Linked DNA regions of Lepisosteus oculatus. The protein of the gene in region 1 interacts with the protein of each later gene in a biochemical or structural test. Links are inferred from orthologs where the notes say so. Each region holds a gene or a part of one and is shown in the gene's direction. Other genes may lie near its edges. The genes, in order: Na(+)/H(+) exchange regulatory cofactor NHE-RF1, ezrb, tbc1d10ab and cftr.

What was found.
Region 2: the proteins of Na(+)/H(+) exchange regulatory cofactor NHE-RF1 (region 1) and ezrb form a complex in vitro, tested with the Homo sapiens proteins (2 studies listed by BioGRID and IntAct). The link is inferred for Lepisosteus oculatus from reciprocal best matches to the Homo sapiens genes NHERF1 and EZR.
Region 3: the proteins of Na(+)/H(+) exchange regulatory cofactor NHE-RF1 (region 1) and tbc1d10ab form a complex in vitro, tested with the Homo sapiens proteins (2 studies listed by BioGRID and IntAct). The link is inferred for Lepisosteus oculatus from reciprocal best matches to the Homo sapiens genes NHERF1 and TBC1D10A.
Region 4: the proteins of Na(+)/H(+) exchange regulatory cofactor NHE-RF1 (region 1) and cftr form a complex in vitro, tested with the Homo sapiens proteins (9 studies listed by BioGRID and IntAct, with this or other methods). The link is inferred for Lepisosteus oculatus from reciprocal best matches to the Homo sapiens genes NHERF1 and CFTR.

Annotation. Positions count from the first base shown.
Region 1 is NC_090704.1:34,890,414-34,897,778, forward strand, and holds the start of Na(+)/H(+) exchange regulatory cofactor NHE-RF1, read left to right. Parts: upstream 1-4,355; 5' UTR 4,356-4,716; coding exon 4,717-5,178; intron 5,179-7,365. UniProt on the Homo sapiens protein: Scaffold protein that connects plasma membrane proteins with members of the ezrin/moesin/radixin family and thereby helps to link them to the actin cytoskeleton and to regulate their surface expression. Necessary for recycling of internalized ADRB2.
Region 2 is NC_090697.1:44,087,931-44,095,484, reverse strand, and holds the start of ezrb (ezrin b), read left to right. Parts: upstream 1-4,541; 5' UTR 4,542-4,681; intron 4,682-4,766; exon of another isoform or gene 4,767-4,858; intron 4,859-5,391; exon of another isoform or gene 5,392-5,493; intron 5,494-5,744; 5' UTR 5,745-5,840; coding exon 5,841-5,852; intron 5,853-7,554. UniProt on the Homo sapiens protein: Probably involved in connections of major cytoskeletal structures to the plasma membrane. In epithelial cells, required for the formation of microvilli and membrane ruffles on the apical pole. Along with PLEKHG6, required for normal macropinocytosis.
Region 3 is NC_090717.1:13,823,399-13,830,825, forward strand, and holds the start of tbc1d10ab (TBC1 domain family member 10A), read left to right. Parts: upstream 1-4,426; 5' UTR 4,427-5,589; coding exon 5,590-5,777; intron 5,778-7,427. Other genes in the region: sf3a1 (splicing factor 3A subunit 1), read left to right, coding at 1-14, 530-631.
Region 4 is NC_090702.1:45,444,081-45,451,796, forward strand, and holds the start of cftr (cystic fibrosis transmembrane conductance regulator), read left to right. Parts: upstream 1-4,715; 5' UTR 4,716-5,063; coding exon 5,064-5,116; intron 5,117-6,202; coding exon 6,203-6,313; intron 6,314-7,281; coding exon 7,282-7,393; intron 7,394-7,716. UniProt on the Homo sapiens protein: Epithelial ion channel that plays an important role in the regulation of epithelial ion and water transport and fluid homeostasis. Mediates the transport of chloride ions across the cell membrane.

The DNA of each region.
Region 1 (7,365 bases):
GATGCTTTTCAAACAGCTCTATCGTGAGAAGTGTACAGCATGGAGCAGTAAAATCTGGAGCTCATACAAAGAGGAACACAAGGAACTCCTTCCCACATGTGCACACATTACACAGCAGAGGATAAAGCAGCACAGCCCAGAGGCCAACAGCTCCAGTCTACAGCAAGAGTCTCAAATCCTGATCTTCCATCAGGTACTGTTGGTACTGTAACCATCAAATCATTTATCTAGAAAGACGTGGAAAAATTGTGATGGTATGGTAAAAAGAATGGGTTTAAAGATGTAGTGCAAAACTGAATTAAGGGACTAGAGTTCCTTTAATTGAATAAATTACTAACTTAACTGATTGGTAATTTACAAGTATTCCCGCTCTTTAGAAATATGTAACTTAGGGAGACCAGTAATACAGGATGTAATACTAGATTAAGGCTTTCCAGAGCATGGGTTGGACATCCCTATTCAAGAGTATAAAATCATCAATATGCCTAAAGTAGCTTCTTCCGGAAGGAACACATTCTCTCTGGTCCTATTTGTACTTCGTTTATCAAATTATACTGGCACAGGTCTCTCAATACCATTATCTGTAACAGCTTCTTCCTGCAGGCTGTCAGGCTCCTCAACACCCTGGAATCTACTTGCCCCCGGCCCAATTCCAGAAACAGGGTTAAGATCCCCCCAGTGTGGTGTGTATATTGGATTATATATTGCCTTGTATTTTGCACTATCTGCACTTTGCACTATGTGTATCCTGTCTACAATGTCTATGTCAGTGTCCTGTCTGTCCTGCCTGTATTTTCACTGTGGACCAGGTGGAACGGTATTTCATTCCACTGTATACTTGTATATGGCTGGAATGACAAATAAACTTGAACTTGAAATTAAGAAGGTGAACTACATTAAGAAGCATCCTTTAGAAACTAATATTTGTGTCTTTCTTTTACACTGTGTGATATATTGTTTGTATTGGACACAATGAAAACACATCGAGGCTATACAGTACCTTTTATATGTCTTTCCATAGTGGAAGAGGAGGTGGAGTCTTTCCTTGTTGGATTTTAGGATCTTTTTAAAAATGTTTTGGAACCTCACATTCAACTGAAGAAAGAGATAGGGGGCAACAGAAATATTTTATGTTGTTCTGTACAAGAGGTGGGAGGACTCTCAGGTATGGTTTTGAGTCACTGGGAGGGTGTTCCCAGCCAGTAGTAGGTGTTGTGAATATACTATGAAGTCACACTGTACAGTAGCTGCCAGCCAATTCGGATCCATAGCATATTGACTATATTCTCAAATATATAACTATATATAATATATAAACTGGATGGTTCATTCCTCTTTATCCTGTGCATGCTAGTAAAAGCATATAAAATTCAATCAGTCAATTCAGTTTTCATCATCAGACCTGGAACTACAGTATAATGACATGTAATATTTTTTTGGATAACTGAAAAACCTTTTTTGTCAGGATCCTGTCAGGGCAGGGAGGTTAACTACTGTAGATGTTTTTTTGCTGAATACCATGGCAAGTGTATGAGATGCAAAACTGACAAAGGCAACTGGAGTTCATGCACGGGTCACTGCAATTCCAGGATGTGTTACTTCAGCATTTTGCCTGTCAGAACCAGAAGCACAATTCCTGTTCTTAAATTTGCTGATTCGCAGCCTGCAGCACACTCAATCCACTATATACTCTAGTTGCATCAAACCTGAATATCTTCTATAGAAAATCAGCACTGGGTGTGCCCCGATGACTTCTGTGGAAACTGGCAGTGTTACTATGGAGTAGATTTCTAATTGAGCACATCCATTACATCCAAACTATTGAGAATTATTTCAATTTATAATTCTCTATTTATAGAACTTTACTTAACTCAAATACATAATGTGCTGCATCGTCTGTAGTAGTGCCACTACAAGGTACAATTGAAATTATCAATGTAAAGAGAATAGATTGCTATGTCAAGAACACCATGTGCAGGTCTCATGATATTTTGATGATATTTTGAGGGGGTAACCTAGGTCTGAAAAATGACTTCTCATAGCTACTTTTAAAAACTTGCAGAAATCTAGAAAATAATATGCAATGAAGGAATTTTCTAGTCTACTTTGTACAAAACACTGTTGTTACGTAGGAGGCCTTTACAATATAAAAATTCAGCCCATTGAATGTTGTTATTTATGACCTGTTTCAGAAAGGGCAGAGCAGAAATGCATAAAATGGTCAAGAGAGAATTCATTTTTTATTTTATTATTCAAGCATGTGTTTGAGGAAGAGATTAGAAATCATATACCTAAGTCTCAAGGACAAATAAAGCAAACAACATGGACGCCGTGACTTCAGATTTTAAAGATTTTGCATAAAGTACCATCATTCTTTACATGTCTGTTTTTATGCATACTTTTTAAATTAGCTGTGAAGCAGTTCAATTGTTAAAAATTACCTGGCTCAATTGATAATTACACAATAATGTCTCATAAATATTTATGCTGGATTTGTGGATGTTCTTAATATTGTATTTATACCATTATTTATACCATTACAGTTAGGATATAAAAAAGTGCTCAATGCTTCCAACATTAAAGTTGGACTTCCAACTTTAAATACATTAAAGTTGGAAGCATTGAGCACTTTTTTATATCCTAACTGTAATGGTATAAATACAATATTAAGAACATCCACAAATCCAGCATAAATATTTATGAGACATTATTGTGTAATTATCAATTGAGCCAGGTAATTTTTAACAATTGAACTGCTTCACAGCTAATTTAAAAAGTATGCATAAAAACAGACATGTAAAGAATGATGGTACTTTATGCAAAATCTTTAAAATCTGAAGTCACGGCGTCCATGTTGTTTGCTTTATTTGTCCTTGAGACTTAGGTAAAGCGCCCAAACATGGGATATGGAATGTTGGTAGCCAAATAATACTGGTTTGATCTGGTAAGAGTGATTTGAAATTGGTTTTGGATTAATGATAATAATTATTCCTTACACTTATGTAGTGCTTTTCTGGATACTTCGCTCAATGAGCTTTACAGGTAATGGGGCTCCCCTCTACCACCATCAATGTGTAGCCCCCACCTGGATAATGTGACGGCAGGCATGGTGCACCAGTACACTCACCTCATGTCAGCTTTCAGTGGGGAGGAGAGCAGAGTGATGAAGGCAATTCATAGATGGGGATTATTAGGAGGCCATGACTGTTAAAACCCCTGGGATTTTTAATGACCATGGAGACTTAGGACCTCGGTTTTATATCTCACCCAAGGCGTAGCCTTTTGGACAGTGTTGTGTTCTCATACTTGGGGTATTAGGGTACTATAGGGGGTAGCAGGTCTCCCAGGTAATGGCCAGGCTCCCACCTGCTTAGCTTCAATGGGTTGCTAGTTGTGAGTTGCAGGGTGATATAGCTGCTGGGTAAATTAAAAATAAATTAAAAATATTAAAAAACAGTCTAGGCTTTGCAAAGTGATATAAAGTTATAGAAGAAGTATAAAAGGAAATGTAAATTTCTCTTCTAAAGGAATTTTGAAGAGTGGGTAACGTTTTTAGAAAGCTAAGAACTGGGTAACTGCAATAATGCAATGCAATAATAATGGGAGCAAATTACTCTGACAGTTTCCACCTGAAGTATACAGCTCAGAAACTAAAAAAAAAACGCACTCCATCTCTAGTGTTACTCAACTGTGCGAGTGGGCACTTTCGAGCAGAAACAAGTTTTCAGTTGTTAAAAACGTTACGGAAATAACATTTGTGTTCGAAGCAGTACCAATACCACAGCAGATGTTAACCCATGAAAACAAATTACTAAAGTCATAAAAGGTTTTCTTTAAAAATCTTGTGCTGCCGTGGATCTCCATCGAGGGCAGTAAGATTCCGATAAACCCCTATGCGAGCTCGAAATCCCTCCAGGTATTAAGTTATGTCTGTGATGAAGAATTGTGTTGCCGACATTATAACTGTAAGTTACAATTACATATTCTAATGTCTCAAATACTTCTTTCTCGCATTGATTGGTACTGTAGTACTAAGCAGTTTATACAGACTTTACACGTTCTTTGTGGGGATCTGATATTACTCAACTCCCTTCGGTTAAATTCCATGGGTTGCGCTGATTGGAAAATGCACACCTCAACAATAGAAGTGCAACAAAGTGCACTTCCTTTGCAGGAAGATAACAATTATCTTACCGTGTGGCTATCTGAAACTTGAATTACTCTATTATTTTGACAGTCGCCATTGGCTCATAAAAGCTCTCTTTGTGGTAAAGTTACTTGAACGGCGGACAATGATTGGTGCTGTTGGCTGTCATCTGTGGAAACGTCATGCTGCCTTATAAACTGCGCGGAGTTAATTTGAGTAACCAGATTGGAGGCTTTCGGCTGTGACGGAGAGTGCAACCCTTTTCGTGAGAAAGAGTTCAGACTGTCGTGAAGTTTTTAGGAGACTTGTGTGCACTTTAAAAAGGGAATTGCAGCTGGCGGTGACAGGGACAAGTCACATCGAGACGTCTGACGATTTTAAAAGCGAAATCTATCCATTTGCATTTCCTTAACTGCAAGTTTGGAAGTTACACCGCACTTTTTGAGTAACTGTGCAAACGTGTTGTTCCGTGCACGTTTCTGGCGTTGGTGGCGACCTATTTAAATAAGACTTTTTTGGAGTACCTGACAACATTACACTCAACAGTTTTTTTTATCAGAATAACAAGGATGTCCAGCCATAGCGAATCTCTTCGACCCAGGTTGTGTTCGCTGGAGAAAGGGGGGAATGGTTATGGTTTTCACCTCCACGGGGAAAAGGGGAAGACCGGTCAGTTCATTCGGCTGGTGGAGCCGGACTCCCCAGCTGAAGCGTCGGGGCTCCGCGCCGGCGACAGGCTGGCGTTTGTCAACGGGGAAAGCGTAGAGAGCGAGAGTCACCAACAAGTGGTGTCCAGGATAAGAGCAACAACCGGGGATCTGAAACTGATCGTGGTGGACCGGGAGACCGACGACCTGCTGAAAAAATACAACCTGAAGTGCCAGCCGGAGTATGTCACGTCGGGCATCCCTATACCGAGCGAGTCAGAGGAGGAGGTCGGGGAGAACGGCAGCCGACGGGGCTCTTCTCCGACCCCGGAGAAAAATGGAGATATCACTGGCGAGAAAAAGCCGAGTGTCAGCTCCGAGAAGGTAAGATGGATTCAATTTAAACGTGTTCCCAACGGTTGTTTCGAGATCTGATTTAAAATCCCCCTTTCGTCAAATGCAAGCATAGAAAACCTGTTTACCGCACTTTTCTCTCGTTGTATCTCTTTTTTGTTCAGCTAGTCTCGCGTTTGTTTTTTGTGTTGCTGTTAAGAGTCCAACTCTTACAATTAGATTTTGAGAAACTGCCAGCTACCTGCACTTCGGGGGAAAAAGTTTTTAAGATTACTAGTATGATTGAATGGAGTATGCTAGGTAATGCTCTTTAGGTAAGTACTTCTGTGATTTACAATGTGGTAGCTCGCATCATACACTAATAAACAAGCCCCCTTTATTTTTGTATGGAACGAAACCAGTTTGTGTAGTTCCAAAACAACAAAAAAAAAACAAATGAGTGTTTTATCAGTCTGGTTTCTGAAAAGTTAGTGAAAACAGGCTGTTTCTCTAGCTGAATTCCAGTATTTGGCATTCGGTTCAGGCAGCTTAACACTCGCCTCCAACAGTATGTTTGTGGGCAGCGTAGGAACAGCACAGGCTTTGTCCGCCTCTATTGTCGCACAGGTGCGGGAGGTTCAGAGCTCCAGGTAGCAGAGCGCCGCGGGCTCGGGTGGAAGGAGTGTTCCGTCAAACTGCGTGGGAATTTTTTTCCCCGGTTTCCCAATCTTTGAACGCAGAGCTAAAGCTTAAAGGAACATTTGTTACCACCCAAACGTGCGACAGTTTATTCACATCTCGCGATTTATCAGCTGAAGTAATGCTTTCGGACCGCAGAAATGTTTCTTCCGTTTCCTGGCTGACCTAGGTAAAGTAAACGAAAATACTATAATGTAAATCTAAGTTACTTTTAAGGAGACAGCTTGGACCCACACTGGAAAGGTTAATAGGTCTGTTTAGAGCAGAGGCTGGGAAACACGTGGTTGTTAAAGTTCAGAGCAGATACTCAGAAATTTGACCCATCTCATGGACATTATGCTTTCCTTGTCAGGAGCTTTTGCCTGCTTTTCTGAAATATTGATGTTTCTTGTTCATGCATACTGTGAGTGATCTGTCTCGTGGTGATTGGCACTCCTCCAACGTAACATTTATGGGGGTAGTGTTTGTCAAATCAATGCTATGTTATCCCATGGAAAGAAACATTCACCTATCTATCTGTATCAATTCAGCATCATGGGGGAGTTAATCCTGTCCCAGAAAGCAAAGGGTACAGGGTTTGATGCATCTTGCATGGGACAACAGACACACTCACACCAGGGCCAGTTTTCCCAGAAGTCAATTAACCTACTAGTATGTCTTTGGACTGTGGGAGGAAACCAGAGCACTGAGAGGAAACCCACATGAACATGGGGAGAACTCAGGGCTCCACATTCGCAAGGCAGCAGTACTAACCAATGTGCTGCTAAAAAAAACATTGAAGTTGTGTATACTTTTTGTAATCATTTTATCAGTGACGTGTGCTGACTAGCTACTCTGAAAGATCGTCTGTATCTCCCATTAGATATGTGACGTAAGAACTTTGAAGATACAGGTTAAAGGCTGTTCCAATCTTTTAGTGCTTTGTGGGTAGCCATTATTATATTATGGATAATCAGTCTGCTCAACCACATGAAAACTAGTTGTGATGTAAAAATCTGCAGCCTCCTTTAAATTGAATTTACAGTAGATTTCTTCACGATAGGACAGTTAAACAATGCTTCTTGAGCTCGTAGTTCTTATTTAAGACTTTCCAAAAAAAAATCAGAAGATATTGTGTGGAAATTAAATACTGGATATTAAGAACTGCTGAAAATGTGCTTTTCTGCATCTTGCAACAGAGCTTGTAAAATTTTCAGTCCAAACTGTAAGAGGTGACTTGGTTTTATTCAGCATCTTGGTGTAACAAGTTCTGGGTTTGTTTCACTGAGAGTCTGTGAAATAACTTTAAAAAAGTGTTTAAAACAGTTTTTTTCCCACCTTTTGTAAGGTTGAGTCCTGTGAAACTCAAATGTTCTTAAATTTTATTTTTGATTTTACAGTGTCCTTAAAGCAATTAAATGTACAGTAGTTGTCTTAGCTATGGCACTGCCCAAACCATGCTGGTGTCACCAACATTTTTGGCCCCTTTTCTTTAATTTGGAGCTGTACAGGATTCCCCTGAAGAGAAACAGCCACCTTCTCGTCTTCACGTGACGCAAA
Region 2 (7,554 bases), on another chromosome or scaffold:
AAAACTCTCGACCACAAGTCTAAGCGTACTGTACATCCCGCGTTCATCAACCTGTTGCAGGCAGGTCTAATTTGCGCTGCTGGATTTACAGCAGATATATACAGATCTATTTTAATCTTGTACTGCTATTGGCTATGTCCGGTTACGACACCTCCCCACCTAGATCAGAGTTCCACTGTCTTTGTGTCATGGGCGTGCATTTGCGACAGGCACTGCTGGTCAAACCCTTTGAAACTCTCACGTAATACAATTAGAAACGCAGTGGTATGGGTGTAAATAGACGCTTGCATCACTGCAGAAAAAAAGTTCGCTAACGGATCAAAAGTTGTGTTGCTATGATCCTGTTTGTTGTGCTAGTAAGGTTTATTGAATATGAATTTGCAGAACGCCCTGCCACACTGCGATAGCCAGATACACCACAGAAACGTCAAAGCAACCCGGATGATTGGGTTAAACATTATTTTCTAGTTTTGGAAATAAGAGGCTATACCGTTAAAGCTGAAGTCAACAAAGAAAATTGTTAATTATAATAAACTAAATCAAATTAAAAGTCTTTATAAAGTATTTTTACTATCTGTGACAGTGAAAGGGGTGTGCGGTATTCTTATCAGTTGGCTGAGATTTTCTTGGACCTGGATTGATTCTCACCGATCTACAACTTTGATTGCTCATTCTTTTTTCACGGAAAGATCATCTTTTAGGTGTGAATGGAAATTAAAGCCCCCAGACTCACACATATATATATATATGTATTATATATTTGTATGCACAAGGCAAAAACATGCTTGAAAATTGTTTTTTTTTTTCTTGAAGGTTGCATTTAATCACTTTATCTTTTTGAATTTCCTCTGGGCTATATAAATATATGCAAAAGGGGGATATGCTGATGGCTTCAACAGAAAAACTGAATCCTGAGTTCATATAAACCATTTAAAGGTTTGGAAACTGTATGCAGAGAGGGTAAGGGAAAAAACAGTATTTTTTATTCTTTCTCACTATAAAGTCAAGATTCACTAAAGTCTTCGATCACACGATGAACGTCTAGGTTTGGTATTTGCTCATTATTTTAGAAAATCTATTTAGAAAATCTATTCAGCTTGTGATGTTGTAAGAATGTACGTGCACTGTGTGGTATGCTTAGTAAGATTCAAACAGAGACATTTATGGGATTATGCATTTTTCTTTCCAAAAATACATGTATTCTTAAATTGTTGTGTGTTACCCTGTCATGTGTCCTGTCTGTTATTTATTCTGTACCCAGAAGCAGAGTAGCCCTGTCCACATTTGGGGCACCTTTCCCCCAAAATTGAGAGGTGCTGTGGCATCTAGGAAGTGTTGTTTTGCTGGTAATAATAATAATTAATAATTGCTTACACTTATATAGCGCTTTTCTGGACACTCCACTCAAAGCGCTTTACAGGTAATGGGGACTCCCCTCCACCACCACCAGTGTGTAGCATCCACCTGGATGATGCGACGGCAGCCATAGTGCGCCAGAACGCTCACCACACATCAGCTATCAGTGGGGAAGAGAGCACAGTGATGTAGCCAATTCATAGAGGGGGATTATTAGGAGGCCATGATTGGTAAGGGCCAATTGGAAATTTGGCCAGGACACCGGGGTTACACCCCTACTCTTTTCGAGAAGCACCCTGGGATTTTTAATGACCACAGAGAGTCAGGACCTCGGTTTTACGTCTCATCCGAAGGACAGCGCCTGTTTACAGTATAGTGTCCCCATCACTATACTGGGGCATTAGGACCCACACAGACCACAGGGTGAGCGCCCCCTGCTGGCCCCACTAACACCTCTTCCAGCAGCAACCTTAGTTTTTCCCAGGAGGTCTCCCATCCAGGTACTGACCAGGCTCACACCTGCTTAGCTTCAGTGGGTTGCCAGTTGTGAGTTGCAGGGTGATATGGCTGCTGGCTGCTGGTAAGCTTCATATACACAGTAGTATGGGCTCATCCAATTACTACTGCATAAGAAGCAGAAATGTTACTACAAAGTTAAGAGACAACTACAGATATTGTACCAATATCAGCATTTCTATACATGCTGTTTCTGAACCTTTATAATAATGAAGACAGAGTAGCAGTGATCAGAGAAACCAAGATATGTCATACGCAAGCTGATTCATTAAGCATCACACACGCCCTCCCTGACTTACACAGCTTTCCTTTTAAAATGAGAACACAATAAGCTGCCACCACACCTTGACAACTTCCCCATCAAAGGTTCACTGCATGTTATCAAAAACTTTTCCATTTCTGTTCAAAGATAACAATATTCTAGCAAATATAGCATTAGAATGAAGAAGAATTAATATGTTTTCACTCCTGCATTATTAGTGAAAATTTATTTTATTTTTTTGCGGGGGGTGATCATCTCTGGATAAAGGCATAATATTGTTTACAGATCTGGGTAAAAGGATGATTATAAGAAATTGTATAATAACCAATACAGACTGACATATTTCTGTATGTTGTTCGTATATAATGCCTATTTACTGTATAAGGGCAAGGAAGAGGAAATTTTGCCAAAGAGAAATTTTCAAATAAGCATACTGATTATAGTAGTTTCTCGGGCCCAACCTTTCCTTCACAATCCCTACAAGCAGTTCTGTGTAAATGTGTGCAGTTCTTTTAAGAATCACCTTGTCTGATGATGATCATGGGTGGTTCATGGGTAAAGCATGAAAGTGTGAAATGACCAAACCGATATCTAGATTTAAACTCTGTTAAAACCCTGCATCTGATAAGATGAACAGAAGGACTCCTGAATCCAAGCTATTCCACTGTTCAAACAGGTCTGAACAGCAAAAGAATAGAAGAAGTACATTGTCAACTGTTAAAAGAAACTGAACCTATGAGTTTTACATGAGCTAGCATGAAAAAAAAAACATTTCAAATAAAAAAATGAAACAAATGGAGCCATGGGATATGAATAAGATAGCAGCTTACTGTATTTGTATACATTTTACTTACATTTAACTTACCAGTGAGAGTGATTACAAATCTCTGTGTGGAGAAAATTAAAACGTTACTGAGCAATAATTAAAATAAGAGGTTGCACATCTTTATTACAGATTAGTGTTGACCACTTATAGCACCCTCCATACAGTATGTACTGTACCTGTGATAAACAGTCACTACAAGTTAATTTTGCAAGGGAAAAGCAGAGGTGTACACAAAGATTTCCCATCACTTATGATGTGAAAAGCAGGACTAAATATATCAAAAGCATACTTATAAAAATAACAACAAAAATTTAAAATGCCTAAAGTTCAAATTTATCCATATTTTGTAAATATGATGACAACAAATGTTTCAGCTTTAATCCTCTAATGTTTGTAGTTCTGTGGTACTCTAACAAATCCTCAGATGTTTTACATAAACCTCTAGAAGTTTCTTATTCTAGTATTTGTGTAATACACATCAACATACTAAACATGAAAATACTCATGGTTTGTAGTTTTCTATCTTACATATGTAAATATTCAATATATTTTGATAACATTTGTGTAAACCATTCTTTTTTAGGTCCTGCACCATTTAATTATTTCTGAAAGGATTGAGTGATGATCACATTTTCTTCTTCAGAAATCTAAGGAATTTCAAGGAAAAAATTAACTCCTTTGTTATGTTTACAGGTCACTAAATGGTTATTTGAGCTACGGTAGAGGTTTATCACCTCTAAAAGTAGACTAACAATTCTGACAAAGATAACCTATTCAGTGAAAGTCTGTATTACGTTGCCTGTGGGTTTCTTATTATCAGTCATATTGTGGCTGTTTCTACCACAAGAAGTATGTTTACTTTACTACTTCTAGTTTTATGAACCTAATAATTGCAACTAATATTTCTTGACATGACAGACACGTTCTATTTCAGCCATGATTGATGTGATTATTGGAGATGATTGATTTTTACCTTTCTATAGTGAGTAAACAATTCACACATGGCAACGAAAGTCACTGCTCACCGCCCTTTAAATTAAAACAGGCCTTGTACTGATAGTGCTGTGTACAACATCATTTGTTTCAGAGGAGCTTCTATCTTGACAAGATAAAACGCAAAAACTTGTGAAAGATGTATTATGCCTTATTGTAAGGTGGTTTCCCTGGATCCAGCTGCTGCACATAGAAACGCATAAAACCACACACGTCTCGATATCAGATGAATTCATCGTTTATTTTTCTTTCTTAAGACATTATGTATTACATTTTCAAAGTTCGCGAAAAGTTTAGTCCTCAAGATTGTTAAAGTTACCATTCATTCGGTCGTAACTTTTTATTTATATGTACCGTAGGCGAGGCAGACATTTCAACCAGACGTCTGCCGGCTATAGTCTAAGAACACTGTAGGAGATCATTAGCCGCATGAACTCTTCGTCTTCTTTGTGTTCTGGTCTCCCTATTCACTTTCATTTATTTATTTAAATTATTCTCTCGAGCTCCACGGATGTTGTCAGAGCTTGTTGCTGATAGGAGTCGCTGTTGGATTCGCCCCAGCGGTGACAAAACAGGAACCCAGGAACAGGGAGATAGAAATGAATAGAGCACTGTAGGACAGAATGAGTGGGTCAGCCATATTGCAGTACCGCTGACTTCAGCCGAGGGAGGGGAGTTTTCGAGGCTGCGGCTCGTCAGTGATTCTAATAAAATCACACCTGCTTCTGGTAAGATAATTTATTAAGTTATATTCAAGCGAATACTTTACTGTTTTCGTAAAGTCTAGCGGGATGGTGGAGGTTATGTTACACAGCTCTGTTTTGCACTTGTTAGGTTTTCAAAGGAAATCTCTCAACAGGTGTTACAGGGATTATTGTGGGCTGTGGCTAACTGCTGAAGGTTAGGTAAACCAGATTATTTTCTCTCAATTGCTCAACCATTTGGGTAAAAAAATGACGCATCAAGGTTTAAAATATGATGGCTTTTCCTTAAAATGATTGTATTCCTCTTCAGGTGAAGCTCTTAGATTTATCTCGCAGGCTTGATCTGGAGAAAAAAAGTTACGGTATACGTGCCATTTTAAGTAAGACGTTATTTTGAAGGAAAAGTGAAAGAAATCTGTTACTAGTATCTGTCTGTATGTCTGTGCATAAACCTAAATAACTAAATGTACGGATATATCGATACTTACATTTTCTTTCGTATTGAAAATGTATTATTGTAAAGCTGATTTGCTTGTATAGAATATTAAGCACGAACACTTTTTAGTCCTGTAGCTTGTGAATTTCAAGGACGGGATCGAAAGTAACCATTGGTAATCATTTCTCCTGTGAAGTTGCACTTCAGTCTTTCTCCGTACGTGTTGTTACATTGTCAGCAGTGTGTCTATAAAACGCAAGGACGTCGGAGTACTTTCAGTTTTCGCTTAATGTATTTTAAGTTTTCTATCACGGTAGCCCTTACATTTATTAATGGTGGCGATATATTTGGTTGAATTTATTTCTGTGCGTCCAAGGGTCACACCTTTGGAGGTGCTGAGGTAAGTATTTACCAAAAAGGGTGGAGACTGAGCGACCTTTAACTAGTGGTATTGCACACTGTCGGACGTCTTTTTTTCACTTGGGTGAGGCCCGTTTCTAATCAGGAGTTACATACTTAATAATGATTCATAAACGTATATCCCACAGGTTTACCTGATTTTCTGTCACATTACACAAGCTGAACGGAAGAACAGATTTCTTCTGATAGTTTCTGAGGTCTCTCAAACTTATTCCTCTACATTTTTTCAAGAGGAGTATTTCGGAGGAAAAGTCGTCCGCGTTTGGCCCAGAGTATTGAAAGAAAACTTTACTGAACCTCTGGTGGAACACATACAGGGAACCGAATATGCCAAAGCCGGTAAGTACTTTCATTTATCAAACAATACCCTGATGGAACGTATTTTATTACACAAAAAAAAACGAGTTTGTATATCCGTGTATTTAGGATATTCTTCAATGAATGTCATACTCTTTATATTAATATACTAAAGTTTATAGCTTAAATCACGTTCTTTTAACAATGAATTATTTGAAAACAATATTGAAACTCTGCTATATAATAATGTGTATCAAGATGTGTGCAATGTTTAATATGTCTAAATTGAAAAGTATAAAAGAAAAGCAGTTAAACAACTTAATCTTTATAGAAAAAGACTTAAGATAGTTCATCATATTTATTAGACTTTTAGAATAATGTTTGGATATTCTATATTTCTGAGCTGAAAGAGACAAAATAGGTTTGATCGGTGATTTAAAGGACATTTCGAGCCAACACAAGCAAAGGTAAGCTAATTTGCAAATGTGTATGCAAGGCATGAGCAATATTTTATGGAAGGACCAGATGTGTGGCTTTTCTTTGGATTCTGAAGTCCAGTTAAGATCATGTAGCATCTTGCCTTCCACAGTTTATTGCCTTATTATAAAGTATAAATTAATATTATATTTAATGTCATTAATATGTTACTGATATTACATGATTAAAGTTACATTTCAGTATAATATTGCATATACAAATGTTTTTACTTGTTTTTAATAAGGTTCCATAGGTACAGTATATGAGGAATCATTGCTCAGATGTGAATTTCAGGATGCCCTGTTTTTCTTTAAGTAGAGATAAGGATACTGTGTGCTTTGGTTGAAGTATTTCCAGATTAGTTCAACATTCCCTGACAGTTCCTCAGAAAGATTGCAGAGGTTGTTAATACAGGATTGATGTTCAGTGAAACTAGAGCATTCAGGGACTTAACTAAAAACAAGGCTGATCTTTGTTTCATATTCTGTCTGAATCTAGAAATATCTTGTGTTTATCCTCACAAGACATTCTGAAAATAATTAAATGAAAAATAAGTTTATTTTGTTAGATTCTACTCAATTGATTACACCAAGGCTATCCCTATCAGAGTTTAATACTCTTTGTTGTTCAAGTTGCAACAGAGAGCATTTAATGGGTAAATAAAGAACAGTTAAATAAACGTATTTAAATGAATAAGTATGTACTTTCTGTTAGAAGCCTTCAACAAAATGCTTAGTAACGTGATTGACAAATCCATCTGGAGAAAGGAAGAAGAAATGTGTGCGAAAAAGTGGATTTATGTTCTGGCATTGTATCAATCAGAGTGTAATCTCTTATGCTACTAATTCTCCATAAGTAGTTTCAGTAATTAAACTGAGGGATTAATCTCATGCAGTCAAATCAAAACTATTCCACAACTTTTTGCCTTCTATTGGAAAAAGCAGGAATGTGTGCTCATAATTGTTCTTGTCCCAATAATTATATGAAAATAGTTTTAGGTCCAAATGGAGTTTCTGCTTTTTAAAGATGATATGCTAAGCCAACAAGAATATAAATGTAGTGATATTATTTATCAGTAACTTTAGTGTGACCTCTGCCTCTTATTCTTTTGTCCTTAAATTGTCATTTTCTAACATGCGTTGGCATGACAATAGTTGTTGTCAGAGGAGTAATAACCTACAGCACATTTGTCTCATTTATATGCCTTACAGAATGGATTTTGTGTTCTATGCTGTAGTTCCTCACATCTTGAATCACTGATAGCTGT
Region 3 (7,427 bases), on another chromosome or scaffold:
AGCTGCAGTATGAGGTAAGTTGTCTCCATCTGCCCTGTATGCTGTTACAACATGGCAAGTTTGTTCCAAGTTATCAATTTCTCTTAACGTCTGCTATTAAAGTTTTTTTTTCCTGAACCCTTGGAATACAAGTACTAGAGTTAAAAAAAATAGCATAGTGCAAAAGGTAACGACATGTAATCACATGTTCATTCAAAACGAAATGAACTTTAAGATAACCGGACTTATAAGTATGACATGAAAGTACCAAAATCTCTGTAGTCATTGCTGATGGTAATGATGATTGACAGATGTGAAAGTGAAACACAGTCATGCCTGTTACATCTCCTAATCAGGTGGTCCTGGCTGTTTTGGTGGTACCAGATATGTTGTACAGTTGGATTTAGGCAATAAATATGAAGGGCAGACTAGCCTCTTGATAAATATCTTAACTGCTAAAGAAAGTTCAGAATGACCTTTTTCCATTGTTTGCTTCTAATATCGTCATGACTTGATGCCCTTATGGACTTTTTTTTCCTCTCACTTTCAGGGCATTTTCATCAAAGACTCCAACTCTTTGGCTTACTACAATATGAATAACGGCTCTGTCATCCATCTGGCTCTGAAGGAGAGGGGTGGCAGGAAAAAGTGAGCCTGGAATATTGGATTTATGGGATTCAACAGCTTTCCATAGACACCGGTGCTGTTTCCTTTCTGTAGGTTAACTTACTAAGTGTGTCAGGGTGAAGACGCAGAGTGGTGTCCATGAGATCACATCTCCAAAGATGCAGAAAAGCAGCCACTACAGAAGACAAGATTTTGATGTTAATTTTTGTTTATCTCCTTGGTGTAGTAATAGTTTTTTCAATCCTGTTTTAAAATCTCCTGCTTTATGTACCGTATTTTACATTAATCTGTTTATGCTATATTAGGTAGAATGGGATTATTCTTAACACAGATAAGAAAAAATACAATTTATGATAAATATAATACTGTTTAGTTATTACATTTACATGGTTATTTTAGCTTCAAATTCAACTTGAAAGCTATTAAAAGAACTTTCAGAATGTATCACGTTTGTACTTTCCTTGAGTAGATTAGTGTTCTGTCTAAAAGTGTGAATAAAAGTCTCCTCATTTTCACGTATCACTTCAGTACCAGTTTTCATGTATTATGTGCTGCTGTGTTGACTCCTTTTTAGACCCAATATATAAATCTGCCATTAGCTTAGTCTTTTTACTGCTGCTTTTGAATTTTATCTCTGAAAGAATAATCCTAATGATCACACAATCACATTCAGTATATGAATGCTTATTCGCATAAGGGCTAGAAAACAAAACCTGGGACCTTGCATTGGGTTACAATTATTTGCTGCTTTTTATGTAGTTTTAATGAAGAGGTTCCAGATATATAACCCAAAATGCATTTTAGATCAGGAGTTTCAAACAGAGTTCCTGGAGGGCCTATTGACTTTTTAGTCCATCTAAGCTTTCTTACATAATTGGTCTAATTTATTTAACTGCATATTTGTAATATGCAAAGGAACATGTAATAGGTTTATTCCATGGTGAAAAGGGAAGAAAATAAACGTTTTGGCTGTGGAGCCTTCTTTAGGTGTTGCCCAACAGCTGAAACATTCTTTTCTTCTCTTTTCAGTATGGAATAAACCTATTACTTTTTCCTTTGCAGCCTATGCATGCTGACGCAGCTACCCACCTGAAGTATTTGTAATATGTCTGTTCAGTCTCTGACATTGTATACATAACTATACATTTACTTGGCTAAATTAAGTGATCAACTGTAAATCAACTTGGAAAAAATCCAATACATGTACAAAACTCTTGAGCTTCATCCAGCACTAGGCCCTCCAGGAAGAGTTTGAGACCCCACTTGTATATTAATTGACAAGATAGTCTACATTGTAACCGAATTGCAACCATTTATTGTCCAGTTTTGCTGGGTTTCTATGTATAGAAGCCCCATTTGTTTTTCATGCGTCATGGTGTTTGGATGACAGATTGTTTTCTAATCGGTGACCATGGAATCTTGTGGTTTTCATTTCCTCTTAAGATAAAATGAGGAATTTTATTGGTTCCCTTGGTCATATTTATAGTCCTGCTGGGTCTTATTGAAAAAATTAGACTGAGTCAGTGCACTCTGTACTGAGACATGGAATTTGGACATGGATTTTCTTTTCCTTGATATAAGAAATTTGATTAAGAGGCTAATTATTATGTGAAACCTGGATGCGATTATTACTCAATGTTGTTAGTGTATATTGAAATAGAGAGATCTTTACTTTCAGACTTGCAATACCAAAGTCCTGATGTTTAAAGAGGGCTGCTACATGAACACAGAACAAATTGGTGCAGTTTCAAACCTACGATCTATAATTAGACACTTAACTAATCAATCTTATTGGGGCTCTATTGACGTTCTCAAAAATAGCTGTTGAAAATGTGGAGTTCAGCAGGACTCTGTCATTTGGTTCTCTGTGCAGAAAGCTTTCACTGGTTACCAAGCTAATGACTTCTGGACTGTCGATTGTGCTTTGGTAATATCTTTAAAAAAACAGTATTGTGTGTTTTGACAGGAAAAAATACAAAAGACTGAAAATAACAGCAACTGATTTATTTTTTTCTTCTAATTTGTCTGGTGTTTTTGCAGTACCTAGAATGTTTGGAAGGTGGCAGCAAACCATTACAAACTGCAATGTACAACAATTTACTTTTACAAGATTGAAAAGAATGGCCTATAAACGCCTCGTTGTACACCTAATGTGCTTTTCATTAAACGGTTTTTACTTTTTACCAGTGCAAATCTAGTATTGTTTTATGGTTTTAAAAAAATTGATTGTCTCAGGTTACAGTCGCGGGTTAATCAAAGATTCTATCACAACTAATATGTTGCATCTAATTTATAGGAAGCAGACGTGTGTAAATTATTCTTATGCATTTGCTACTACAGTGCTATTAATTTTAACAGGTTACATATTAAAACAAGTTGAGTGACAGATTTTAGAGAAGCTCTGAAGAGGCTGTGTTCTTTGAGAAGACATCTAATCTAGTACATAACAATGGTTACAGACACGAGAAGGCTGTTGGGCCCCACGAAGTTCCTTTGGTTTTTAGTAGCTAATTGATCTGAGATCTCCAGCATCTTGAAAGCTGGAAGAGCATCGACTTCAACAACATGGATAGTTTGCTCCAACCTCCTGCAACCTGTTGTGTCAACAACGCCCCCTCTTCTCTGTTTCAAATGCAGTTCCCCAAAGTTAACACCTGTGTCCTGTGTGGTTGAGCAAGAAGTTCCAGCGGTTGAATTTGTCTGTGCTTCCGAGGACTTTCAAGATTTTATCAGGTCCTCTCATAGTTTTCTCTGTTGAAGACTCAAAGGGAGCATAGGCCATTTCTTTGATCTCATGAATGTATAAAATTAATCTTCTCTAAGCTGATTCCAGAGCAGCATTTTTTAATTCTAGTGACCAATGCTGTTCCCAATTTTCTAAATGTCTTATGAGTGCACCTTACATTAACAATAGCCCTTGATTTCACTTTCACACTTAAATATTTATCTTAACATCCTGTTTGCCATTGTTTCCCTAACGTCTTGAAGATGATAAGCACCCATTTTCTTCAGAAGTAGCATCTTCAAATGCATGTTCTTATAGTTTAGACTAATTCCAAACAACACTGTGCAGTTGTCTACATTAGTCATCTGCCAGGTGCTTGCCCAGTTCTGAAATTGGTCTTTTCAAAATGCTTTGATCCTAAAGACCCCTACGATTTAGTGTTAAATAATCCTGTTAGTTTGGTATAACTTGCTTAACACTTAAACTACATTACCTCAGCTTGAGCACTCACCCTTTAACTGTGCCTTCTGTTTACATAATTCGATTTTCAGTCTGAAGACATGCATGGCCTTCAATGCCAGCAATCAGAGGGTTAACCTTTATGAGGAACTTATCATAAAAAATTAAATATACCCTACCGTAAGCTCTGCTTGTATCCTATACCGCTAGAGAAACCTTTAAAAACCAATAGGTTTTTGTTCTCGTGTATACCTGTGACTATATCCTCGCTTGACGAACGAATATCTTCTGCCTGCATACGCGTATGGTCTCTGGGTTTTCTTTAGATTGTCTGCAGCTGTAAAACAAGTTGCCCTTCGGGGGATAATAAAGACGTCCTCAACACCTTCCGCTTCCAAACCCCCAAGTAAGCTGCTCCTCGGTAGCCTTTTGGCATACAGGGGAAGTGAGCAGTTGCTTTCAGACTGAGCGGAGATGACGACGACAACGACCGGCGTGTTGCAAATGCATTGAACACCACGCATCATCTGCACGAGATCCCGGGTCGTCTGAGGGGCTTCAGGTATCGGTAAGCACAGCATAGACTTAACTGACTGACTGCATCCACTAATACAGGCTTCCTGCGCACGGCTGGGGCGGGTCTGTCCAGCACCGCGCAGGCGCGGGCGGCTCCACGGGCAACGTACAGTAGCTGCAGACGGAGCTGGGTGGGCGAAGCCGCCGTGTTCACGCGTTGGGTTTGATCATTTTGTTTGTGTTTGGGGCGAAGAAAGAGTAGCAGCCCGGCGATTAATCGGGAAAGCAGCGAGAGGTGGCCTGCGTCACCGCCTCCCCCCACCCTGCTGTGTGGGCTGTGAAGGCGAAAGGATTTGGGGAAGACGGTGGAAGAGAGTAAACACGGGGGATTTAAACACCAGTATTTTTCCCCCTCCCCTGCGTTAACTACAACAGACAAAAAGAGGTGGCGGTGGCTGGTTGGGACTGCGCCGATCGGACCTGCGAGAGGGCGGCTCTGTCGGCGGCGGGGATCCCTGCGCTCCGAAAGGACGGCCTGCGGAGCCACTCGGGACCGGAGCTGCGGGATTCACAGACCGGGGGGGGGAGAGAAACAATCCTAAAGAAGCTCCCTGCCGTGGGGGTGCGGGCGAGCCGCCGGACTGCCCTGCCCGTGTGCTCGACCCCTTGCCCGTAGCTGCAGGCTCTGCTGCGCGCAGGGCGGTGCAGCTGCTCCGGGCTCGGCGCCGCGCAGCGCGCCGGGAGGACCTGGGCTACACTGTTGCCGTCGCTGGCGGCAATGTTTCTGGACAACCACACGTCTGTAGCTGCGTGATTGTGGGGGTCTCTTAAACAAGACGTGCGACACTCAAGCCATGGTGTTTCCGCGGACTTGGAGTTAACTGGGATTTCTTTTTTCTGCCCCGAGAGCTTCTTGCGCTTTTAATTGAAATTCGCATCCTCCCACCTCCGTGCTCCGGACATATATATTCTGCTTTTTTTTTTCTTTTTGTTGTCGCCCTTGTCGTTTTCCCGGCGTGTTGCTAACCGGTTGCCCACGGAAGTGAACGCGTTGCGGGGGGTTTCGGTGCGCAATGAGGGCGGCCGGGCTGTGCGTGAGGCGAGGGGTGAAGACGTGAGGAACAGCTTGGGACCGCGAGAAGGAAGCAGCTGAGCCGAACCGGGCCGGGCCGGGCCGGGGAGGGGAAGGGGGTGGTGGAGACGGTGCAGAGCCTCCCTTCTATTTCAGCGCTGTGGTTTTGGGGGTTCAGGGGGAAAGGGTGGGTGTGTGAGGGTGAGGTGTCATGGCCAAGACTGAGAATGGGCTGCGGTCTTCCGATCCGCAGAACCTGCGGGGGACGAGCGAGAGTCTGGCCGAACGGGAGAGCAGCTCCTTCGGGTCGGACTCGGAGGTCAACGGCTTCGCCAACACGGAGCGCCAGACGGACAGATATGGGTTTATTGGAGGAGCCCAGCAGCACACGGGACACTCGTGAGTAGCTATGACGAGCACGTCATTTTATTGACCTTATTTTCTTCCTGTTGTTGTTGTTGTCATCCGGCGTTGTCCGCTTTCGCTCAACAGCGCAGTGAAACTTGTACCTGTATTCCGGGGGTTAGACTCCCCCCCCCATGGCTTGACTTGTAACGCGTTTACCAAAGGACGGCTGGTAAAGCTAGGCCGTTACCCACGTGTACCGTGGTTTTGCTGGGGAGTGGGTGTCGCGCACTCTGCCTTGTGGGCCCCGTGTCGTGTGGGTGTGTGAAGTGTCGCGAGTTGGGTGACGACAGAGGCGGCTTGTCTCTGCAAAATAAGCAACACCCTGGGGAAGGTGGTGATACTCAGCGTTATCGGAAATTCACTCTTTTAAGCACTGAAGGGGGGGGGGACTTATAAGAGGTTGCTTTCCCTTCTGAAGCTAGCCATGTTAGGTATTCCTCATGCACACACCTAAGAAGTGCAAGAGGTTCCGGACTGAGGTGGGCTGTCCAGGGGGCTTGTGTTGGTGAGCACACCAGCCTGCCGTCAAGGGCCAGGCTCTGGTTGCTGTGGCTCAGTTGTGTCTGAGTGTGAGATATCCTCATTCTTTAATTTGTCAGGATTGTGTGGGCTTTCCGGCAGCCTTAACTCAAAGCTAAGATTAGGAAAGACTCAGGTTGCTGAAAGGTCACTGAAGCTCCTCGTAATGAGTAGGGCTTCTGAAAGCGTTTTTGTTAATGCTTGAGAGTCGGTCGCACCCGAGTGTGGCTTCTAACTGCATTTTCTTTGCAACAGGATGAGTATTTATAATGGATTTTCTATGGTTTCTTAGCAACCAGTTACCACATTTGGGTGTTGTCTTGGATTATATGTCAATGTTGCTTTAATTCATACTTAACTGGCCAGAAACACGGTGACTAACTTTCGACAGTTGCTTGAGTCCACGTAGCAAGATCTTGCATTCAATGCGCAAAATGAAACGGGCTTAAAAAAAAATAACCTCTTTTGTGAGGTATTCCGGCTCGTGACAATGGGTTGCAATCCAATTGGATACTGGACATTGGAACTGAATTACAATCCAGTGCCACAAATGATTGAGCATACAGTCGTCCATATGAAAATGGGATTGCATTGTCTCCTGCTTTGTTCTGTGCTTGGAGCTAGACTGTGTAGGTATCGAGGCTCAGTCCCAGAGTTTGACGTTTGAATCTGTTAGGTGTGTGTTCATGAAATCTTCCGCCCGGTTTCCACCGCCTGTACCCCTTGGACTCGGACTTTTATCTTAAACCGCAGTCCAAGCCTTCTTTGCCTGGTCTAACTGCTTGAATCTGTTGAGACTTGCTGTGTGTGTGTGTTGACATCGAAGTAATGACTCAACAGCCGTATTTAATGCCGGACTTGTTTAGGTGTCACAAGGCTCTTATGTTCCGGTTTGGAGTATGTGGCATTTCAGGTCCAGGCAGTGGTGGGAGGGAACACAATGTGAAGATGGGCACAGAGCACCCATCCGGTCAAACCTGAGTAAAGCCTGATGACGTGGCTTTGTGCCCTGTCATATGCTTATTTTAATATGGCACAATACTAAGTACCGTGGAGCAGCACAAACATGGCCGCGTATAGTCAGGCTTGACCTCGTGTAGGCCCTGATGCAGATGCTCGCCT
Region 4 (7,716 bases), on another chromosome or scaffold:
ACAAGTAATAGGTTTATTCCATGCTGAAAAAAGAAGAGAGAAAACACAACGTTTTGGCTGTGAAGCCTTCTTCAGGTGTCCTGAAAAAATAGTTTTATGCATCGTTCAGAATAACACAGAATATAGTTTATTTTATATGCAGACAGCAAAAACCACATCATCCTTAAAATATTTTGCTCGATTACCTGCTTTGCTTTGAATTTTTGTTGGTGCTCTTGTTAAATGATGACTCCATGCTTGGTGGCTAGTCTTACCATGATTAAAATGTTCTGGGCTTTTTGGTGGCCATCTCTTCTTCCCACTATCTGACATCATTGGATCCTGACTTTTCCAGTCATCATTTGTGTAGAGTATTTTATTTCTCAGGTTTTTGGTGCCAGGATGGGAAGCACCTTGGATGTACAGTATGGGGCACTGGTGGTCCAGCCTGGTCAAGCCTGGATTTACTGTACAGTGGGTCCATTACTTTTGTGTGATTTAATTTATGGCATCTTTTTGCAGCATACTGTCAAAACATCTTTTTTTCACCTTAGAAATATCGCTAGACCATGCCCTATGCTATCAATAACTGTGGCTGAAAAGCTGATCAACACATTTGTGTTCTCTCGAATTGACTACTGTAATGCTCTACTCGCTGGGGTATCTAAATCTACTCTGAACAAACTGCAGTACTGTATGTCCAAAATTCAGCAGCCAGAATCCTGACCAGGTCTAGTGCAAGTGTACACATTTCTCCTATCCTGGAGTCCTTGCACTGGCTTCTGGTCAAATTCCGTGTGGACTTTAAAATCCTCATGCTCACCTATAAGGCTCTGCATGGCTTGGCACCTCAGTACCTGTCTGAACTATTATCGCCCTATTCCCCGCCTCACAACCTTCGCTCTTCTAATTCTGGTCTCCTAACTGTCCCCCAAGCCCGTCTACATTGTATGGGTGACAGGGCCTTCTCCTGTTATGTCCCCAAGGTCTGGACCTCTCTGCCCAAGAATATCAGAGAGTCACCTTCTCTAAACTCCTTCAAATCCAGACTCAAAACCCTCTTCTTTAGAAAAGCCTTTACTTATCTGGTTCCATTCTTTACCCCTCTGCTTTTCTTAGTACCACCATCCATGGTCTCCTGTATATATTGTAATTGTGTTTTATCTTGTGTATTCTTCTTATTTATTGTTGTTGTCATCTTGTAAAGCGCTTTGAGAAGCCACCTTTAAAGGCGCTATATACAGTAAAATAAAGTGTATTATTATTATTATTATTATTATTATTATTATTATTATTATTATTATTATTATTATTATTATCTTTTGGCTGGATATTTGGAGTGCGAGTGACCGGAGATGGGGGTGGTTGATAGGGTGGGAAAAATGTTGTTTTTCTTTTGTTTGGGGAACCTTTATATTGTATTGATTCTGTCTGTAGGAAAAAAGAATGGCAATGTACTCCAAAATAGAACAAACACTTGAGTTCTCAGGCAGGCATGTGTGTTGGATCACTTTTCAGCTCAGCTTGACAATATCTTTGTTCACAAGGTTTGAGTTTCTCTTTTTTTACGTCTGTCTGGCTAAAACACTCCGAGGTATATATATATAAAACAATACTTATTTTGCAAATATAAGCATTTGTTCTATTTTGGGGCATGTTCCTATTTTTATATACTATTTTATTTGACTTGGAGGACTTTTTTCTGGGCTTGATAGAAGGGCTTGTTCCCTTTATTTGGATGGATGCTTTTTTGGGCAAGATAGTCACTGGCACCTGTGATTGTTTTATTTCGAGTCAGTTATGTTTTCAAAAATGTATAAAAATGTATTCAGTGAGAGACTGGAAGCAATGTTATGGAATGCTCTGACAAAAAAGTAATCCTCTACTGTTCTGGAAATTTCTATTACTTACATAATGTGTTTTTATATGTTTTACTGGGATTAGGCTTGGTTTGTGAGCTTGGTACCTATTGGAACACCACCCTCTACAATTAATAAGCCATTTTACAGCAGCCTTTCAAAATTATTCTTTACATTATTGGAGGTAATAAAAAAAATGTATCTGTCTCATGCTTTGCCTTGACTTTGTTTCCAAATGTTAAGAATATTCAAATACAAATCCATTGCGGTTTTCTGTGTTTTGATAGATAGATACTGTACTTTATTGATCCCGTGAGGGAAATTGCAGTGCAACAGCAGCTTAACACAGACAACACAGTCACAGTGTAACGAATGATACAATAATAATAATACAATACAATCAGTACAGTGAGGGGTGCACTAAAAGAGTTACCCACAGTCCGGACACATAAAGAACAAACTAGAACAGAACAGTACACAGAAAAATCATATTACACATATGAATATAAATATAGATGTAAATATAGATATAGATATAAATATAAATATAAATGTATTGCACAGGTCCCTGGCATATATTGGCAAAAAACGGTTGTAGACGGGAAAGGAAAAAGAAAGAGAACAGATGTAGCAGTAGATGTGTAGATGCGTTCAGTCCAGAAACAGGTCACTGTCGATGTTGCCTCTGCCCAGACGCAAGGTGGATGCGTTGTACAGTCTTATGGCAGAAGGCAAGAATGACCTCCTGTAGCGCTCCCTGTCGCACCGTGGATGAATCAGTCAGAGTTGAAGCTCTAGGATGGGCTCATAGATCAACCCCTACCTCACCGAAGAGTTTTTGTGGCTCAGGTTAAAATGCATTCATTAGACGTCCACTCAGGTTACTTCTGAACCATCAGCAGTAGCTGTGCTTCACCGTTTTTATCTGTGTTCCACAATGGAATGTCTAAACCTTTTTAATCCTTAGAAAATATGTAGGAAACTTGAAGCTAACAGAAAGTTCCCAGTATCAGTAACAGTTACTTTGTTTTAGTTAATTAAGAATATTAAGCTGAAAAGTCTACACCCATTTCGGTGCATACAGTAGAAATGAAAAACAAACACTGCATCTGTACATTATAATAAAAACATGTTCCTATAAAATAATTGAAGATTTAAAGCAGAAAAAGATTTGATTTAACTTTAGTCAGTTTTGTAGAATGTTTCAATATACTGTACAATAGCAGTGATTTAGGTCTCTGAAGGTCTTGTTTGTAGCATTGAAATACTGAACAGCTCCTCCAAAACAGCAAAGATAGCACTAAAGTACAAACAGCTACAGTATGTAAAAGCTTTAAAGAAGGTTGTGGGGGAGGATTGCTGGGCATGAGATGCAGCTGGTTCCCAAGTTTTGAATGCTGAAATGTGGTAGCAGTTGTTTTTTTGTAAATGTGCAAAAAAGATCATTAATACTGTATGCTTGAGTTGTGCTTGTAGGTGCTGAGAAAAAGAAAAAGCCTCTTTGGTTTGGAAAAGTGTTATTCCATAGGTTTTGTTTGGTCTCATGTTCTTATGTTGTAAGCAGTGTTTCACCGACCCCTACGTTTAGCACTGCATGCGGTCTAGATTGGAATATTTGTTTCTTTAGTGTTTCTTTTTGATCACCTCTCCAGAGTTCTCTGAAATTTTCATCTAATTTTGGAAAAAAGACTTACAAACAAATATTTTAGTTTTCCCTTGTGTGATGAGAACCATGTTAGCTTTCTTACTATTTTCCCTGTTGAAGACACCTTAGATGTTGTAACACAGTAAGGTTATTTAGGTATTGAATTCACATATAATTGAAATACAAAAATTATTTCTTATTTAAGATTAAATAAGTTTACATAACTTTTTATTTTTAATAATGTTTGTTTCTGTATTGATTGCCTTACACTCTGTATGTTATGGGGGTCAGGTTAATATTTATTGCTCCTCTTTAAAGCTTTGAAAAGATAAGAATGATGCAGTATATACCTGTATACAAAGTAAAAAAACATGAGTTATAGAGTAACTTTGTTTCAAATAAAAGTTTGCCGACACATTATTACATGACTGTTTACAAAATTTTATTTCATTTTTCAGTGTTGTGTGGTACAATCAAGACTTACAGATGAATGCTTTGCTTTGCAAATGTTTATGGATGTAAACACTGACTAAACATAAATATCTTAAATCAGAAACAGGAAAGCATGATGCATTGCCACCCTTTGATGTTTACAGTTGAAACAGAAATGTCAGAACAGACATGTGAGAAGTTAATCTTATATTCTTAGGCGTTTAGGACAGAATTAACAAATATAGATGCTAATACACTGCTTAAATTGCATGAAGCTGTGTGACACAAAGAGCCAAGATGCAGTTCAGGAGGAATTGCTAATAAGGGATATTTAAAAAAGAAATGCTTGGAGTAAATGACAAAATTGTCTGCTGCATTTTTTTTTCTGAAGATGGATATGCAGATTCTACCTTTATTCTTACCCGTTTTAGGAATAGGTTTGGTTGTTACCATAATTGTGAATTCTCCTGTGACTACTGTACAAATTGCATTTAAATTATTTTTTAAAATAATTGTCTTGAAAGTCTTCAATAAGATACAGCAGCAAAAAGAACTTTCTTGATATTTGTCGTCAGTTATAAAATAATAGAAATCACAATTTTGTATTATGTACCATACTGCAATTTAACACTTAATGCTCTGTGAAAATGGTGTTCATTCCCCAGTTCATTTCTTCTTGTCCGTAAGAAAACGCTTTAATGATATTGAGACTTAAACATCTTGTCAAACGCCTTGGCCGAAATAAGAATTCCCCTGCTGTTTTTTTGCGCAATGTTGCCTAAATGGAAATCAAAACTTCAGAATGAAATCTGGCAGAGGTGGGTCGCACACTGCTATTCAAAATCAGTCCCTTTAATGTACTGAGTGTTCTAGGTTAACAGACTGAGGAGAAAATATTCAGTGAACGCAGAACACACAAGGAATTTATCGTGGGCTCTGAGCGTGGAGTTCGACAGCGCAACTCTTCAAACCTTCTGGTTTGTCCTTCGCACACGCTATAACCAGGGCAGAGCCAATTAAACCAGTGACATCACCGCACACATATCTTGACATGGAGAACAAAACCGGGGACTTGATTCAATTTTGGAGACTTTACAGATGACCAGTTTAACCAGCACATCTCTCAGGTGCACGGAAGCTGTTTTAGAATGCAGAAATCACCTGCAGAAGATGCTAACGCCTTCTCGAGATTTTTTTTCTGGTAAGTGTTTTTTTTTACTCTAGTTTCAGTCAAGGATAAAAATGAAACCACGATTCTTTTCTTCTGTCATGGAAATTGAAAGAAAGTTTTGCTAAAGTTTTGCAGTGCAGATGTGAATCTGCATTTAGCTTATTCGTTTTGGTAGTCCTAATATTTTTTTAGAAATACTGTATGTACTTTCCCCTGCACGTGGTTCATTAACCTGCTGTTTGATAATTATATAGCATGACTTTTCTTACTTTCATTTTTATATTGAAGTTTGAAAATATAATACGACTAACAGATTAATTTATTTACCTTGTCCGAAGTTATTTCAGAACTTTATGAAGTGCACCTGCAGCGACGTGCCTGAGGATCAGATTTCATTAAAGCTTTCCCGAGTTATAGGAAATTAAGAAGTCAGCTATTGTTTAATGAATTCGCATTTTTTAATTCGATTTTCTTATATGATGTGGTTATGAGTTAACTATTGTTAAACATTGCCAGTGTTTTTTTTAAATACTTTGGAGCGGGAGATCTTCTTGGTGTCAAAATGTGAGAATACAATTATCACAAATGAAAGTATTGAAAGCTGTGAAGTAATTCATCATTAGTTTTCTTCACGTAAAACGTAGTTTTAGAAAACATGTACTCTAGTAAATAGCGAAAACCGTAACTACTGCTGAGTAGATACAAGTAAATACACCAGTGTGTTTTGTACAACTTTTTCAACTACTGTATGTGTTAAAAGCTTGCATAATTGTTTGTGTTGTATATTCTTTCCATAATATATTAAATTTAATCACAGACAACATTTGTTCTAGGAGAAGCAGTGACTGAACCATTGTGACATTGTTTGTATACTTACTGTAGATGACAGTTGTTTCTCAATAAAGGCAATTAGGTTATAATAATTACAAACAAAGATCCCCTTCACACTCTATTTACTTAAGTTTACAATAGATACTATTGACATGTATGATATCTGTCATAAATCTGTGAATGTAGATCTATGTTCAGTAGGTAGTAGTGGCATTTATAAATCAGTGATACATCTGTGAATGTACTGTAGGTCTGATTTATGATGATTTGTTTTTTTTTTTACAGGTGGGCTTCACCAATTTTGAGAAAGGGATACAGGCAGAAATTAGAATTATCAGATGTTTATCAGGTGCCTTCATTTGACTCGGCTGACCATCTTTCTGAAAGACTAGAAAGGTTTGCATTTATCGCAATCTTTCACTGAAGCTTTCACGCGCAACGTCCAGAAAATTGTATTTTTACCTTTAATTGCAATAATACCTTAATCTGACTATTTTAGTCTTTGAGTACAAATATTTATTGATATATCCATTATATATAACATTTCTGTTCTGTATGTACATTAAAGAAAAACACTATAAATAACTCTTTCTTGTTACCCTTTTGTGATATGCACTGTAACCATCATCTTATGTTTTGAATAGCAGGTCCTTTAGTTGACCTGCTATTCAAGTGTATTTCCTACTGTATTTCCAGAGAAACCCTGTACAGTACTTGTTTTAGCAACTGAAACTTTCAGCTGTAGGTCTTACTTGAAATGTGGGTAGGCATTTGAGACACCAGACACTGTGAAATATTCCCAAAAAACACACGCCTTACCCATCGTATCTCTAGCAGTCTATGCGGCTATATTGCCGATTATAATTAAAAAGTCTTGCAAATGTCACCAATTAGGATATTTGCCATTGAAAGCGCAGGCCACCCCCAAATGTCACCTCTGTCATTCTTTAAAGACACAAACATGCGACTTAAAAGATGTTTGCCCTTGTTTTTACCCTGTTTGGGACTGGAGCTCCTCCAGGCCCTTATTTTTACCATTATTTGTGTATTTCTCTTTAGATCTCAGCAGTTCTCTTACATAAGCATGAAACGTGACCTTTTAAACTGCCAGCCCCCTGTTGGGTGATATATAGTTAGCCATTTTTAATCAGCCAAAAATGTGGTCTACTGGGAATTTGAACTTTTATTCAATTAACAAGTTGGTACCCTTTCGATCTTCAAGGTCTCTGTGTACTTTACTGTTTAATAAGTTAGCCAGATCTCCCTGGTTATACGTGAGTCAACCTAACTATGTGAAAAAAGCTGTGTAGTCTGTTTCCACACAGTGACAGTTTTCTAATTGCCTTGTTTTCGGTCTTTGGTAGAGAATGGGACAGAGAACTTGCATCATCGAAGAAAAATCCCAATCTTCTCAATGCCATTCGCCGCTGTTTCTTCTGGCCCTTTGCCTTTTATGGAGTCCTGTTGTACTTTGGGGTAAGTTTCTGACTCTTAAGTTGTATCTAAAACAGGATGAAAAGAGATTTAATAAGAACAATATACAGTATGGGTTTCATTATTTAAGATGCTCTCATTTGTATTTGATATTAACATTTAATTATACTTATTTCGCAGTCCCATTCAAAATTAGGATGTTCTGCATTAGATGACCAATTAAGTAGGCATACTCCTTAATTCAGTAGCTATTATCTGTGTGGACCTATGACGTTATTTTATTATCAACTGGTGTTTGATGTGTTCCGTAGTGGAACACTTCAGAAACGCAACATTTGTAGTCTTAATACTAATAATTCTTAAGT